2 linked regions of the Oreochromis niloticus genome follow. The protein of the gene in region 2 interacts with the protein of the main gene of each other region in a pairwise test. Links are inferred from orthologs where the notes say so. Each region holds a gene or a part of one and is shown on either strand. Other genes may lie near its edges. The genes, in order: gpn2 and gpn1.

Region 1 (7,083 bases), on a different chromosome or scaffold from region 2:
TTCACATGTCCTAAATCTCTTTACTTTTCTCCCTCAAGTGAGATTCACTTTAGAAAGAGGATGACAAAGCCTTTTTGAAAATGTGTAAGCACACATTTCTCAGATTCTTCTTTGTGTGTTATAAGGTGTCATAATGACATAAGCAGCACGCACATGCAAAGCAATAAATCCTCAAACTTCGCTGACCTCTAACACTTTGCAGCTTTGCATTTCTCTCTTTCTCAAAGTCGAAAGCTCTTTTATTTTTGGCTGCTTTAGGCACCATAAGTGGGTAACCAAGGTAACTAATGGCTGCTTAAACTAAGAGCATGTACAAAGCATGAGTGCCAACCCGCCTCATGTATAACTCACTGGTGCCACATGCAGTGATGGCACATGGTCTAGACTCCTGTCTCCATGAACACACAGGATCAAATCACTCTCTATAAAGAAGCGATGTCAGGCAACGAGTGCAGAGTGCAGACAGCCCTCTCCCCCAATCCATCTGCACAAAATTGATCCAACCTTCAATTTGAAACGCTAAAAGCGATTTATGATTTAACGGTTCAAACAATGAAATATGAGGCATGTGACTTTTAGAAACACTTAAAGGGCTAACACAAATGAACCATGACGTCTGGTCAGTATGGATGCTTTATGACTACTTCAGAAGAAAGAACTCTTGTTTTGCACTCAACATCTAACAGAAGCATGCAAATAAAGATGTAGATACATTAATTAAGTGATAACAATGAAAATCTGTCGAGTTCACTGTCAAGACATGGCATTTGTTTTTTATGCGTACTCTCTAGACCTTTTAGTGGTCCACACAAACTGAACCCATCCATCCACACACTTTCTTAACCGCTAATCCAATTCAGGGTTGTGTCAGGGCTGGCACGTATCCCAGCTATCGCTGGATGGGGTACATCCCGGACAGGTCCCCAGTCCCTGACACAGAGATAGACAATCACTCACACTATATAGCCAGTTTAACCTAACGTGTAGGTCTTTGGACTGTGGGAGGATGCTGGAGTACCCGGAGAGAGCCCACACGAGCACAGAGAGAACATGCAAACTGCACACTGAAAGGCTCCAGCTGGCCGTCAGGTTGGAACCAGGAGCCCTTTTGCTGTGAGGCGACAGTGCCACCCCCAAACTGAAATCTTGTGGTGTCAGTTCTCGATATAAGTGTAGGAAATGTTGGATACTGTTAGTCACTCAACATTAGAGCAATGTATTACACATTCCACTGGTCTTTAACCAACAAACTCCCCAGTGCAAAGCCCGTGTGATGTTGGCATGTGTGAATAAGGCAGGCCAGCACATCTGAAGCAGACTGAGACTGTGAGAAAGGATAACTGTGGAAATTATCCCCACTAGATTCTCCCAAAACTGCCAGAACTTCATGTGTGAAAGCAGCTTATTTTATTTATTTAATTCACCGAAGCATATTCTAATTTACTGGGAGTTAAACAGACATTACCAGCTCTTCTTTTGCAGTTAATACCAAAAGCAGCACTGGTACCTGTACATTGAGAGGGACAAAGGACACAAGGCTGTAATCTTGTACGACCTCTGCCAACTTTTCATTTAGGTGGCGGAATTTTTTAAAGAAGGGGTCTGCAGCCAAGTGATCGAGAAGATAGGTCAGGTCCATGACCTCTGTGTAGAAGTCAAGGTTGAAGGCTGGAAAAGAATACAAGACAAATGTTACCAAGGATGATGATGAATAGCAACCAGTTGTGAAATTCAACAAATCAGCTGGCAAACAATGCCGGTATAGTTTTTTTTCTTTCATCCTACTTTCTTACAAGGGAAACAAAGAAATGTGATTTGTAAAAACACCTTTAATGTCTTAATCTCACTGTCTTAGAACATTTATCCAGCACAAATCAGATAATCTCTGACTACAGCCTGTAAAATGTGTTTAAAGCAAACCCTTATTAACTCACCCAGCTTGCCATACTGCTCCATCAAGTCCATCTTGGAGAGAACATTGACATGGGGAAGCTCGACATGCAGCATTGTAGACAGCGAGGTGCACAGCACCGAAATGAACTTGGCTGGATCAGCACAGTAATGAGAGTCCACGAGGTGCACCGCTGTGAGCTAAAAGAGAGGACATCCGCACAAAATTTATCTTATGATGTTATTATGAATTCACCTTGTTGTATTAAAGCTGTGTCTACATGATGGCTGTGTGGGTAAGGTAGTACCTGTGAAGGCTCAGCAGAAATACGATAATAATGATGAAGCTCACCCTGAAATTCCACTTGGCCAGCTGTGAGAAGATATTCTTCACTGAGCTCTGGTGGGTGTAGAGCTCCACCTGTCCAGGACAGTCAAACAAGAAGTAACAGTCACTGTACTGTTTCAGCTTCTCCTCCAACCAGTCCAGATTTGCTTCCACGTACTCCATGCAGTAGAGAAGTCCACCATTGGGCCCCAGCTTTAAACCTTCCATGACATCGTCCAAAGTCACCAGCTCTGAGACATCTACCGCACATGAATAAGGTATCCCTTCATTGGCTGGATCCATGTTTACAACCACCACCTTGCGTCCCAGGTGAGTCAGAAACTCTTGCATCCCTTGGCAGTAGGTGGTTTTCCCCGAACCCGGGGGCCCAATAACCACCTGACCGAAACGCAGGGAGGGCTTCACTTGTGTCTGCTTGGACATGGCTTCAGACTCGCATTAGATGGTGCTAGGATGTCCTGTGCAGAGTACCAAATGGGGTGTTGGCTGGCAGGGTCACAGGATTTGGTATCAAGAGTTCAGTTTTTCTTCCACCAACTACATTAAAAACTCATTAAACACTAAATAAACCTGGACCTGCCATCCACTCCGGTCAGACAAGACTTGTACAAAGTAGCTATTTAAAGGTTTATGTACGATAAATCGTAAGTCTACTCAAAACATATGTGCAGTTGCTTAATATAATGCTGACTTTTACTGTAAATTACAGCAATACTGACTGATATTTACCGTTTGCTGACGCTATATTTACATGCGTATAGAAGTCGCTAACACATGCTAACGCTACTCGGAAGTACATCCGAGTTACGTAACTGGCGTGTCAAAATAAAAGCCGGTTGTTAACATGGCGTGACGTGCAGGACTAATTTCAGACTACATTTTTTTCTAAATCATCTCATCCTTGCTCACACACCACATTATTCCGTGATTAATAGCTTGGTACAATTTATACACATGTATATAAGTTAATATAGGAAAACTAGACTTTGTGTGAGATTAAAAATTAGAGACACTAATCACATGAAAAAAAGGATTTTAACATATACATATATATATCTATAGATACAGATATAGGTGTGTGTTTAAAAAAAAAAAAAAAGACTTCCATGACGTTAAAATGGTTTCAATAAAATTTTATTAAAGTCATCTTTGTGATCTTTGTGGGCCAATGCTGCCACCTGGTTGCCACCCTCTGTACTTCATACTTGTGTTCGGCTGCCGTCTCAGCAAGGTATCGCCTCTGTCTATGTCTTTGGGTTTATCATACACTGTAGTTATATGATAATCTGTTCTGGCCTTTTTTACAGGATGTAAGACCAATTTCTCTCCATGATACCTGCAAAAAAGAAAAGGAAAAACCCCCCACAGCATCAGCATCACCTGCCTCACATACCAAAGCTTAAAATTATATTAGAAGGTGGCTGTTAAGCATCCACACTGGAAGCAAAGTGAGTGACATCCTGCAGTTTCAAGTGACTAAGGCCGAAATAACTGCTGGCGATGGGAAGCGGGTTGGATGTAAACTTATGTTAACTTCTTTTAACTTCCTCCATAGGATCGAAACAACTACCAATGAGAGTGAAGAATAGCAGTATTGATTGACACTTGAGCCTGGAACAAGCGACCTGCCGTCAGCTGCAGAGCAAAGTCGAAAAGGGAATTGTTTCCAGCGTAGACGCAGCTTTAGTTGATTGTGCTCATGCTCACCCAAAGCCTCTTTTACAGTTGGGATGTTGCCCCTCATTTTCAAGTGCTTCAGAAATTCCAATCTGGCTGTTTCCCAGGCCTTCACCTTCCCTCCAGCCCTGTTTCTCCATCACACGACGCCCAAAGCCCTAATCAGAGAAAAAATATATGTGCATTTATCTGACGTGTAACAAGAGGAAAGATTAGATTAAGTTATATGTGATGGCAACCTCCTCACCTTAGTGAACCTCTCAAAGCGGCCAATAGACTGATTGTGCCCCGATCCATCTTCATGACCCTCCCTAAGCCTCTTTTCATACCGCATTGTGACGTAATCTCGAGCATCCATGTCACCTCCATCTGTAAAAGGACTTGGTTAAAGGAAATCTGACCCTGCATTAATAGAGCACAGTTTAGTTAATTAGGGTAAAAAAAAAAAAAAAAAAGTTACCTTTATCATAGTAAACACTCATGTCAACATCCCAGTCATCGGCAGTTTGTTCATCAAAGTCTGAAAAACGAGAGAAACACACATGAATGTAATCACACAGTCGCTTTTGTTTTGTTAGCTATTTGTTCATGATGTAAATCTCTGGTTACACCACATCCCTCTATTGAATTGAGATCTGGTGACTGCCATTTGAGTACAATGAACTCATTGTCATGTTCAAGAAACCAGTTTATGATGATCTCAGTGTTTTCACATGGCTTGTATTCTGCTGGAAATGGGTACACTGTGGTCAAAAAGATGGATCTACATGGTGAGTAGCAACACAAAAGTAGACTGTGACATTTAAATGATGGTCAGTTGGTACGAAGAATCCCAAAGTGTGCTAAGAAAATATTCCACACCCCAGCAACCTGAACCGTTGACACAAGGCAGGATGAATCCATGCTTTCATGTTGGTTACTCCCAATTCTGATGTTCCAATGTTTCCAAAGTTTTTTTCCAGTCTTCTTTTGCCCAGAGTTGTTGAACTTTTGTGAACATCAGTTTCCTGTTCTTAGCAGACAGGAGTGGCACTCAGTGTGGACATCTGCTGCTGCAGCCCATCTGCTTCAAGGTTTAACATGTTCAGAGATGCTGTTCTGCCCCCCCTTTTTGTAACAAGTGATTATTTAAACTACTGTTGTCTGGTTGTTCTCCTCTGACACCAAATGAGGCATTTTCACCCACAATTTGCTGCTCACTTTATATTTTCTTGTTTTTGGACCGTTTTCTGTAAACCCGACAGATGGTTGTGTGCGAAAAACACCGGAAGATCAGCAGTTTCTGAAATACTCAGGCCAACCTGTCTGATAGCAACAACTATGTTTCAAGTTACTTAAACGATCTTTCTTCCCTATTCTGATGCTTGGTTTAAGCTTCAGCAGGTCGTCCTGACCACGTTCGCATGCCTAAACTCATTCAGTTGCTGGCATGTGATTGGCTGATGGAATTTTTGAATTAGCAAGCTACTGAAGAGGTGTATCTAACAAAGCGGCCAGTGAGTATATTTGCAATTATCTTTTAATGTATGTTATTGTAAGGCAGAATTTTGTTTTCAGCATCTCGACTGAATTGATTTCTTATACTAATTAACACATACACACACTTTCAGTTTGCCTTTCCACACCTATTTTACCTAAAGTTTGCTTAATAACCTGCACACCCCATTGCTCGTTTATTAACATTATATAGTATGCAAGCCTTTTTCTTCAAAGTGAATTAGTGTTTTTGGTGCCTACCTCCTTCTTCCTCTTGCCAGTACTGAGCATCAGTGTAGAACACCAGACCTGAGCCTCCTTTTTCCCACTTCAGCTCAATCTCTTCTTCAAACAGTCTCTCTTTGGTTCGCTCCTGGCTTGTTACATCCTCATGCAAAGCCTCGTGGCGTTCCCACTCCTCACAGCAGTCATCATCCTACAATCAATCACATGAAGAAATTAGCATCTACAATAAAGGGATGATGGTTTTAGTTAGGCTGCGCCTATTGGACAGCCGACACAAACTAAAACCAATACATTTATCCGACACGCTGACAGACAGCTGGTTGATAGGTATGAACTGAACCTACATCATCAGCATTCGACTGTGCATCCTCTTCCTCTGCGTCTTCTTTCTGTGCTTCATCAGCCTCAGTGGTTTCTGTGTTATCATCCAGCTGCCTCGATCCTAAGGATGAACCAGGCAAAGTACCTGGTCCTGATATTTCATGTCCAGCAGCTGTTAATACAGTCTGTTCTGTGGCTGGAAGTGTGCAAGTGTCATGGTACTGGAAGGGCACGTTCCCATAGCGACGGTTGGAACTCGTCTTGGGGAAAGTGAGCCCCAGTTTCCGAATGAGGCGTGGAGGCAGGCGGCAGGCTTGGATGAGCTGGAGAAACACTTTTACGGGTGTGCCCACATTCCCGTTCTGCATCAGAGCAGGTGGATTAAGTTCGGAGAGGCTTCTGAGGTCGGCCTCTGTGAATCGCTCCGTTAAGGAAACACGGTGCCGCTGTTCATACTTTGTTTTATAGGGGAAAGATCCGTCATCTGAAAGAAAGAAAAAATAATAATACATGTAAAAACAGTGACAAAAACCACATGATGTGAAAAGTTCATGCATCTCTTACTTCTAGGCTGGGTCATTGTAATTCCTTACTGTCAGGTTCTCCTAAAAACTTCCCATAAAGCCTTCAGTGAAAACCAAAACAAAACAAAACGCTGCAACGAGAGTGCAGACAGGGACCACAAAGAGAGATCATATTTTTCCCCATACTGGCTTCTCTTCACTGGCTTCTTGTTAAAACCAGAACTGAATTTTAAATCCTTTTCCTCACATACAAAGCCGCCATCTTATCTTAAAGACCTTAAAGTTTAATATCATCCCAGTAGCACTCTTAGCAGGCTTATGATTTGTGGAGTTTCCAAAAGTAGAATGGGAGTCAGAGCCTTTAGCTGTCAGATCCTCCCCAGTGGATCCAGGAGACAGACACCTCTTCTACGTTGAAAGTTAGGATTTAAACTTTCCTTATTGATAAAGCTTATAGTTAACAAGATAGTCATAATTGTTTTTTGCTACAGGCTCAAGGTGCTGGGCTGAGGCTTCTCATGATGCACTGAGCATATAGTCTCCATTTCCCATCTTTTCACTCCCCATATGTTTAATATGCCACTACTGCATGATCTTAAC
Region 2 (8,108 bases):
GTTCTGAAGGACAAGCTGGAGAACTCTGGAGTGGACCATCACCTCACTACCTGGATTCTGGACTACCTCACCGACCGACCACAGTATGTGAGGACTCAGGGCTGTGTGTCGGACAGGGTCGTCTGCAGTACGGGGGCCCCACAGGGAACGGTTCTGGCTCCGTTCCTCTTCACCATCTACACTGCAGACTTCTCCCACAACTCCACCCAGTGCTTCCTGCAGAAGTTCTCTGATGACTCTGCAATAGTCGGCCTCATCACTGATGGGGACGACAAGGAGTACAGAGGACTGACTCAGGACTTTGTGGACTGGTGCCAGCAGAACTACCTCCAGATCAATGCCAGTAAAACCAAGGAGCTGGTGGTAGACTTCCGCAGGCACAAACATCCTCCACTGCAACCACTGAACATCCAAGGTATGGACATCGAGGCTGTGGACAGCTACAGGTACCTTGGTGTTCATCTGAACAACAAACTGGACTGGACTCATAACTCAGACGCCCTCTACAGGAAAGGGCAGAGCAGGCTGTACCTGCTGCGGAGACTCAGGTCGTTTGGAGTGGAGGGCCCACTCCTGAAGACCTTCTATGACTCTGTGGTGGCCTCAGCCATCTTCTATGGTGTGGTCTGCTGGGGCGGCAGCATCTCTGCTGGGGACAGGAAGAGACTGAACAGGCTGATCCGCAGGGCCAGCTCTGTTCTAGGATGCCCTCTGGACCCAGTGGAGGTGGTGAGTGACAGGAGAATGGTGGCTAAGCTGTCATCCCTGTTGGACAACATCTCCCACCCCATGCAGGAGACTGTGACAGCACTGAGCAGCTCCTTCAGTGGCTGCGGCACCCACGGTGTGGGATGGAGAGATTTCGCAGGTCTTTCCTCCCCACTGCTGTCAGACTCCACAACAAAGACTTCAACTGATCAAACACACACATCCACACATGTGCAATAACACTAAGTGCAATAATCTTTTCTGGCATCGTTGTATTTTTACTCAGTTGTATATAGCATTTGTATTCTATTTTTATCTTATTGTATATTTTATTCTATTTTATCTTATTCTACTGTATACAGTATTTTATTTTATTCTATTATGTACAGTTGTGTACAGTATTTATTCTTATTGTATTCTAATTTTTGCTTCGTAACTTTTGCACTGTCCACTTCCTGCTGTGACAAAACAAATTTCCCACGTGTGGGACTAATAAAGGTTATCTTATCTTATCTTAGGACATCACCCCGGCGCCGTCAGGCATTCATATAAACACGTGGGGGGGATTCAAACTCCCGAGAATCATTTCTGAACTCCTGCAATGAAATCTGAACAAAACGGGCCTGCATCGATTTTTTTACTTTGATTTTTGGGGTGTGTTTGACTTTAGCCCAGTGCAGGCGGATCATTTCAATTTCCATTATTCCTAACCTATTACCCTCATTGAGATCTGCGGATGAAGATGGATGGATGGATGGAGATCTGCTGTGTTTTAAGGTGTTCCTTTAATATTTTGGAGTGTTGTGCATCACAACCACACACAGGAAGCCGCTGGGGTCCCTCACAGTCCTTAAAACATTAACTGCATTTAGCTGCAAATAAGCAGCTACATACTGACCGGTGATTCTGTCGCTTCTTCTCGATGAACTGCATCACCTGAAGAAAACAAACACAAAGTCAGGATCCGAATGGTTTGTCTGGTATGGACATTCGTACCGCGAGATGTTGAGATTTGTGAGTCACCTGATCAAAACGGGTGGCGAACAGGTTGAGTGACGTCACGATGCCACCGTTGGGTCCGAGGCCGTACTGCTTCATCACCTCCTTGTAGTTCACCGTGTCCCTGATGTCTGAAAGCAAGAGGACAGACAGAGAAAACTAACAGACGCTGAAGATGACGTGGAGCTAAAAGTCTTTCCGGCTGTGTTTGAATCACAAAAACACGTGAAGGTTATTTGCTTTCGCTGTGATGTGTAATGCAAAGATTAAACGCACTTCTGCAAATCCAGCATCCCACATTGAGTTTTAAGTTCTTGTTTAAATAAGTAGCATCCAACAAACAGATGGATCCTACCAATGTTTGCAGGGAAAGGGACCTCGTGGACGGCGGGGTCCAGGTTGATGACATATGGAGGAGCTTTGAGGGAATGCAGGTGAGCCGTCAGCCTCTGCAGGAAACAGAAAAGTACTCAGATTACTCGTGACTGCGGCTCACTTCATAACAGGCAGACAAACAGGAAACACTGTTTATACGGAGGAAATGTTCTGAGGAAGAGGAGGGAAGCTGAAGATGTTAACATCAGCCGCTTAGAAAATCTTCATCTCTGAGCTCAGACTGAAGGAGAAGCAAACATCAGTCACAGGGTGTCATTGGTTTAATTTAGTGACTTTAGTAAGCTATTTTAACATTTATTGGGCTAAATACAATTTAGTAAAGTTTGACTCTACTCTATATTCTATTGTTTTCTATTTAAATGTGCTAATACTATGTAATCCATTCCATGCTGACCTTACTTATATTCTATTGAGCTTTTATGCTTTCTCTAAGTTATTTTATTAAAGGCTGTTTCATGTTGCAGGATAACTAACCTTCTGCTGCCTCTCCTACCTGACTGAAATCAAACTGATTTTATTTGATGCCAATGGGTTTGTGCGCAGTTTGGGGGCTTCGTGTGGTCCTCGGTGTGCCACAGAAAGCTGGTTGGTACTTGAGTTTTAGCTGGAATTAAATAATAAAAAAAAAAGCTCTTCCTCCTCCTCTGATGTAAACCTGCTCACAAACCTGTACCTGTCGCTGCTCGTTTATTTACCTTCCGGTCTCTCTGAAGAAGCTAACTCATGCTGCTAACTGCGTTAGCCGCTAAGGGACCGGGACTCACCTGGACGAAGGTGGTTTTCCCGGAGCCCGCCATGCCGAGCACGATGAGACACACGGGTTTGTCCCCGACAGCAGCTCCCGGGACCCCGCTGCCACCTGCCGTCTCCGGGAAAGCCGCATCAGTGCCGGGACACTCCGCCGCCGCTGCCATGATGCTGGAGAGATATTATAGTAACCGGCTGCCGTCCACACGCAGCCGCTGTCGTAAAATGGAAACGCGGTGTTCAAAACGAAAGCCAGAGGGCAGCAGTGTGTTTAATAAACCATGATGAAAACACAAGGAAACTTTATTAGAATATTTTACAGATACATTAATATAAATAAAAAACACATGACTGCAGAGAGTAAAATATTTATGCTGTTCACGGGTCTTAAAAAATAGGTATTTTTTTCTTATGTTTTGTGGATTAGAAACATTACTTTTAGTACATTTTAGTAGTTTATAATTTATTAGTAACGCAGTATATAAATAACTAATCATTTCTATATTATATATATTTCCGTATTTTAAAAGAATATTGACTTTACTAGTTTTATGTTTTGCAAATATTTTAAGTAATTAATTTTAATATACCTAACTGGAATTTTCACATGTATCACTAGCAGTCCCTTAAAAAAAATTACAAACCAATAAATACTTATTTTTCTCATTATAGTCTAGAAATATTCTGAAATTTTACTTTCCTTGAATAAAACTCTAAAAGAAGTCAATTCTTCGTCAAATGAAAATTGCTAGAAGTGTGGTGGATGATTTTCACAATAAGACCTCTGTCGTGTCTCCTCCATCAGTGGATAAAACTTCAATGTAATAAACATTTGCATAAAAACAGATTTTAAATGTGTAGATTTTAAATTTTGCCACATGAATGAATGTGAACGAGGTGAAACAGCCAGCCTTTTCAGTGATTTTATTGCAAATGAAAAATGTGAGCATACATGTAATTAAAGCTTCAGTGCAGATTAAAAGTACAATACACCATCCATAAGCAAAAGCCTCATACTAATCAGCTGATAACACAGTCTATCTCAGACAAGAGCACCAGCCATTCAATATAATAATCAAAGTTAAGAATGAGAAATAATGAGACCAAAAATATGAAATAATAGGATACGACAAAAAAGAAAACATCAAAAGTCAGAGTCAGCTATCAAAAGAATTTAAAACATCAAAAAGTGTAAAAGATTTCTGATTATGGTGCAAAGCAGAAATTCATTTTCCAGTTTAAACCACCAAAACTACAAAAATATTCAAGACAAAATGAAAGATTTAGAAATCTGACGACGAGCACTTTCAGGAGCTGCAGCTGAGCAGGATTGAGACTCACCGAGCTGTCACTGCTTCTCTTATTTGTAGAACATTGTGATCTGCAGCTGTATTTTGTCAAGGACAGCGTTCTGTCCTTGACTTTTTGTTTTCCAAATGAGAAAATCTCTCCAAAATCTGTTCTGCAGCGTTTCACTGCAGGTCACAGTCGGATGTGAAATACAGCAGTGAGCTCTCACAATCACAGTGAACTGAAACTAGGCCTTCAAATATATTTTATTCGACTGAAGTCAAACTAAAAACACTGCCTGAAATGCTCCTGTGCTTCCTTAAGTGAACTTGAGATGGACCTATTCAGATCATTTCATATTTTTATTATTTCAGCCTAGAGCAGCTTTGCATGAGTCACTATTAAAAATAATCCTTCTTTACCTTCTGCTGGACCTTGATGCAGAAATCCTAAACCCAGTAAACCTGGATGTAGCGACTGTGATGTCACCCTTTGTTTTCAGCTTCAAGCTTCATCATTATTCTTTTCACAGTCATTGTTTGTTTGTACCAGGAGTGTGCTGAGGTATCATCCAGCACTCTTTGTTTGATTGCCAAATTGCATCCGTTTACTAAAGTTTCAAACTGGAGCTCCGCCTCCTTGGACGGTCTGTTAGTACAGTGACCTCACAGCAGCCATATTATTGGTCACATGATGTCATTAAAAATGCTCCACAAGGCTCCAACAGCACAAACACGGTGCAGGGGTCCAGTTTAGGAGAAGCTGTTTGAGCTCCTCTCTCACTCAAAGCTAACTTTATAATGTGGTCAGTCCATGAGGATTATTTTGAACTGTCAATCATACAAAGCTACCCTAGTGACATGTTTGTATGAAAATGAGATCTTTGTGTGTTACTTTTTTCAGTTCAGCTCAGTTGCTCACTCGAGTACAATCCATTGTGAACTGTACTCGAGTGAGTACTCCTGACGTCGGGCTCTGCACTCCCTGGCCCAGTGTCCAAACTTGCTGCAGTAAAAGCAGCGATCTTTTCTCTTATTCCTGTGTGTCTGGCTGCTTCGAGGTGGCTCTGGCAGTGCCAACAGATCTGATCTCCAGTCTCCCGGATGAGTTACAGATGGCTGATGTTTTGAGTTAAACATGCCCTTTAATTCCATGTTTTCTAAAATAAATTTGATCTTGGAAAAAGTAAAAGTTTCCCACTCAACATGATCCTTCAAAAGCTTCGCCACGTGAGGCTGCAACTTATTTACAAGGTAAAGATTAAACATAAAAACATTTGCTTCACTCATAGTGGAATTCCACAGTCGGTGGAAACGTTCAGTGAAATCTGCCACCGACTCTCCAGGTTTCTGAAGAATCATCCAAGGGGGCACAAATTCAGGGTCATTCCAGGCTGCGTTTTTAATCGAGGTGGCGCACTGTGTGTCGAGCCATGCTGTCATATCACAAGTGCGTCGCCACCTGGCCTCGCCATCCACTCCTGGCCAGTCAAAATGTTCCTTCACGTTTTCCCACTTGTGGTTATAAACTAACTTCAGCAACTTTTTGAGCTCAGCAGGAGACGGCTGATACACCATGCAGGTGAAACGCAGCCACCTGTGGAAGTCGCTGGGTGTTTTGATGGGGTCAGGAGCATCTCTTAAAAGACCGTAGAGCTCGCCTGGGGTCCATACAGCCTTTATGCCATCCACAAGTTCTCTGCCGCTGCTCTCCTTTTCTGCCGTAGACCTGGTCGCGACAGGCGACTCTTTCAGAAGACTTCCCCTGTCTGTTTGCGTGCCTTTTTCCTCTTGCGTTTTAACTTGTGGAATATTTGGCGGCGGTTGTAGTACTTTTTCAGCTTCAGGACTTTGGTGCCCCTGAAGGAGCCAGTCATAGTTTAGCCCCACGTGTTGCAGCTCCTTGAATAACTTCTCCTCACTCGGGTGAGGTTGTACCAGTGTCACAGCTGAAGGAAATTCCTTTCGCTGTTCTGGTCTTTTGGGACCTTCAAATGTTTTCTGCCTCAGACGCTTTGAGCTGTTGGACCCCATGATGATCACTCCCGGTGTGCAGGGAAGACTGATTAACACTCCAGGTGTTTCTCTGATCACAGAAACAGAATAAATGTTGATCAGTTTTGGAAACACACTCCTGATGTTTAGATTGGCACAGTTAACCTGTAACTCCCATCGTATAAAATGACCAATTAACATGCAGAAAACTTTCATCATGCCTGATATATTATGACATCATTATGACTAATATGTGTGTACAGCTGCATCTAAAGGCAAAGGTCACTCTTTCAAGGATGCCAATATTCACATTTTGGACAGAGAAGACAGATGGAGTGAACGACCCTCTTTAGACAGAGGGCGGGGCTTACGACACTGACTGTCTGACATCTATAATCCAGTTTTGAGATCCTTCCCAGACGCCTTAATGCCCACTTTTTGGTGTCATCTGATTTCAATTAGTCACATGACAGAGTGAGGCAAGGTTTCACCCAAAACCACTGCTGACAGTGACCCCCACACACGTGATCAACGGGTCAACGACCCTCTTAAGGAGAACTCCCAGTAGAGTTTAAATACCAGGGACTCTCCACCATTAAGTTTTACAGCAAAGAAGCTTCTCGAATGAAACTTAAAGAAGTCCAGTGGCTTTTCTTTCCAAGAAGCAGATCTCTCCAAAGACCAGATTATGAACAAAGTGACAAAATTATAGGAACTTCCTACTTATTATTATTATTATTGTGTCTTTGTGTGTTTTAATACCTTTGGAAAAAGGTGAAATAACAGTACAGTACAGTACAAACATGCAAAGCATATCTTATCAAACGCAGACAGCACGTTGCAGAGAATGAAGCTTTCTGTGAGCACGCTCAACTGAAGCCTTAAACTTGTCCATTACAAACTCAGGCAGTCTGATGACAGCAGCATGAAACTAATTCAGAACATTCGACGCGGTTTCCGATTCAGAGAAGAGAAAGAAGGAAGTAAAGGATGCAGATTTACTGAAATAAAGGCACTTACAACCCGCTGTAAGAAATACTACACCAGTACTCTTAGTCGAGTAAGTGCAAAAGTCTGAAACCACCATTCATTTCTTTCGGAAGGTGTTTCAGAAAGAAACTGGCCATATTTTATCGTACCACCCATGACTAAGGGCAGAGTTCCCCAGTAATTAGTTTCAGTTTATGTGATCTGTAATTATATTTACCTACAAATACTTAAAGGTCAATTAATATTAATAATTGTACTACAAATAAATGCAAGTAGTTGGTTGGAAACAAAACAAATTGATAGAAATTGCCTTCCTACCTGTACCTTTATCCTTTTTGGGGTTCTGATGAGTAAAGTGAGCCAGAAAGTTCAGAGAAGACAAAGGCTGATCTCATCTCAGCGTGAAGCTGGTAGATCCACACCGACTCCTGTCGTTTTCTCTTCTAAAACACAGAAACAGAAAGTTTGTCCTCAGAGCGGAGCAGATGTGGACAAGCGTGAATTAAAAACTGGGTTCAGTTTGGCCTGAAATTTGTCTGTTTGCAGCACAGAGCCGAGGCTTGTTTGTCCTCTGATGAAGACGCCTGGTGGAAAGTTACAGGGGAGGAGCTCGAACTGGTCAAACAAAAGGATGAACTGAGAGGCTGGACTATGAAACTATGAAAGTACAGATATAGAAATGAGCTGAACAGACTTTTGAATATCTGCAGTTCCTTTCATGCATGGGAAATCTGTTTTTTATTTTTTAAATAAAAACTGCAAACCATGAGGTGACAAACTGATATATCTTCCCTTTGCTGCAGGCGCGGCTGAAGGGCAGTGAGCGCCTTTTCTCTGTTTTCACAGACTCCAAAGCATTCCCAGCCTAAACTAGTTTGCAGTGTCTGCCTTTACAGATGGATTCTGTGCATTACTTTGTTTTATACCAAGATTCAGCTTTCGTTCGCTTACATCCTGTTTTATATCATTAACCCTTTGACCCCT

What was found.
Region 1: the proteins of gpn1 (region 2) and gpn2 interact in binary tests that used the Homo sapiens proteins (3 or more experiments, as listed by UniProt). The link is inferred for Oreochromis niloticus from reciprocal best matches to the Homo sapiens genes GPN1 and GPN2.

The regions. Positions count from the first base shown.
Region 1 is NC_031976.2:7,480,744-7,487,826, forward strand, and holds the start of gpn2 (GPN-loop GTPase 2), read right to left. Parts: upstream 3,071-7,083; 5' UTR 2,969-3,070; exon of another isoform or gene 2,698-2,968; 5' UTR 2,663-2,697; coding exon 2,243-2,662; intron 2,092-2,242; coding exon 1,935-2,091; intron 1,669-1,934; coding exon 1,508-1,668; intron 1-1,507. Other genes in the region: gpatch3 (G patch domain-containing protein 3), read right to left, coding at 3,383-3,575, 3,947-4,074, 4,164-4,285, 4,377-4,436, 5,654-5,828, 5,983-6,443. UniProt on the Homo sapiens protein: Small GTPase required for proper localization of RNA polymerase II and III (RNAPII and RNAPIII). May act at an RNAP assembly step prior to nuclear import.
Region 2 is NC_031965.2:38,255,335-38,263,442, forward strand, and holds the start of gpn1 (GPN-loop GTPase 1), read right to left. Parts: upstream 3,058-8,108; 5' UTR 3,018-3,057; coding exon 2,868-3,017; intron 2,157-2,867; coding exon 2,063-2,156; intron 1,839-2,062; coding exon 1,732-1,838; intron 1,645-1,731; coding exon 1,607-1,644; intron 1-1,606. Other genes in the region: uncharacterized protein LOC102076855, read right to left, coding at 5,058-6,173. UniProt on the Homo sapiens protein: Small GTPase required for proper nuclear import of RNA polymerase II (RNAPII). May act at an RNAP assembly step prior to nuclear import.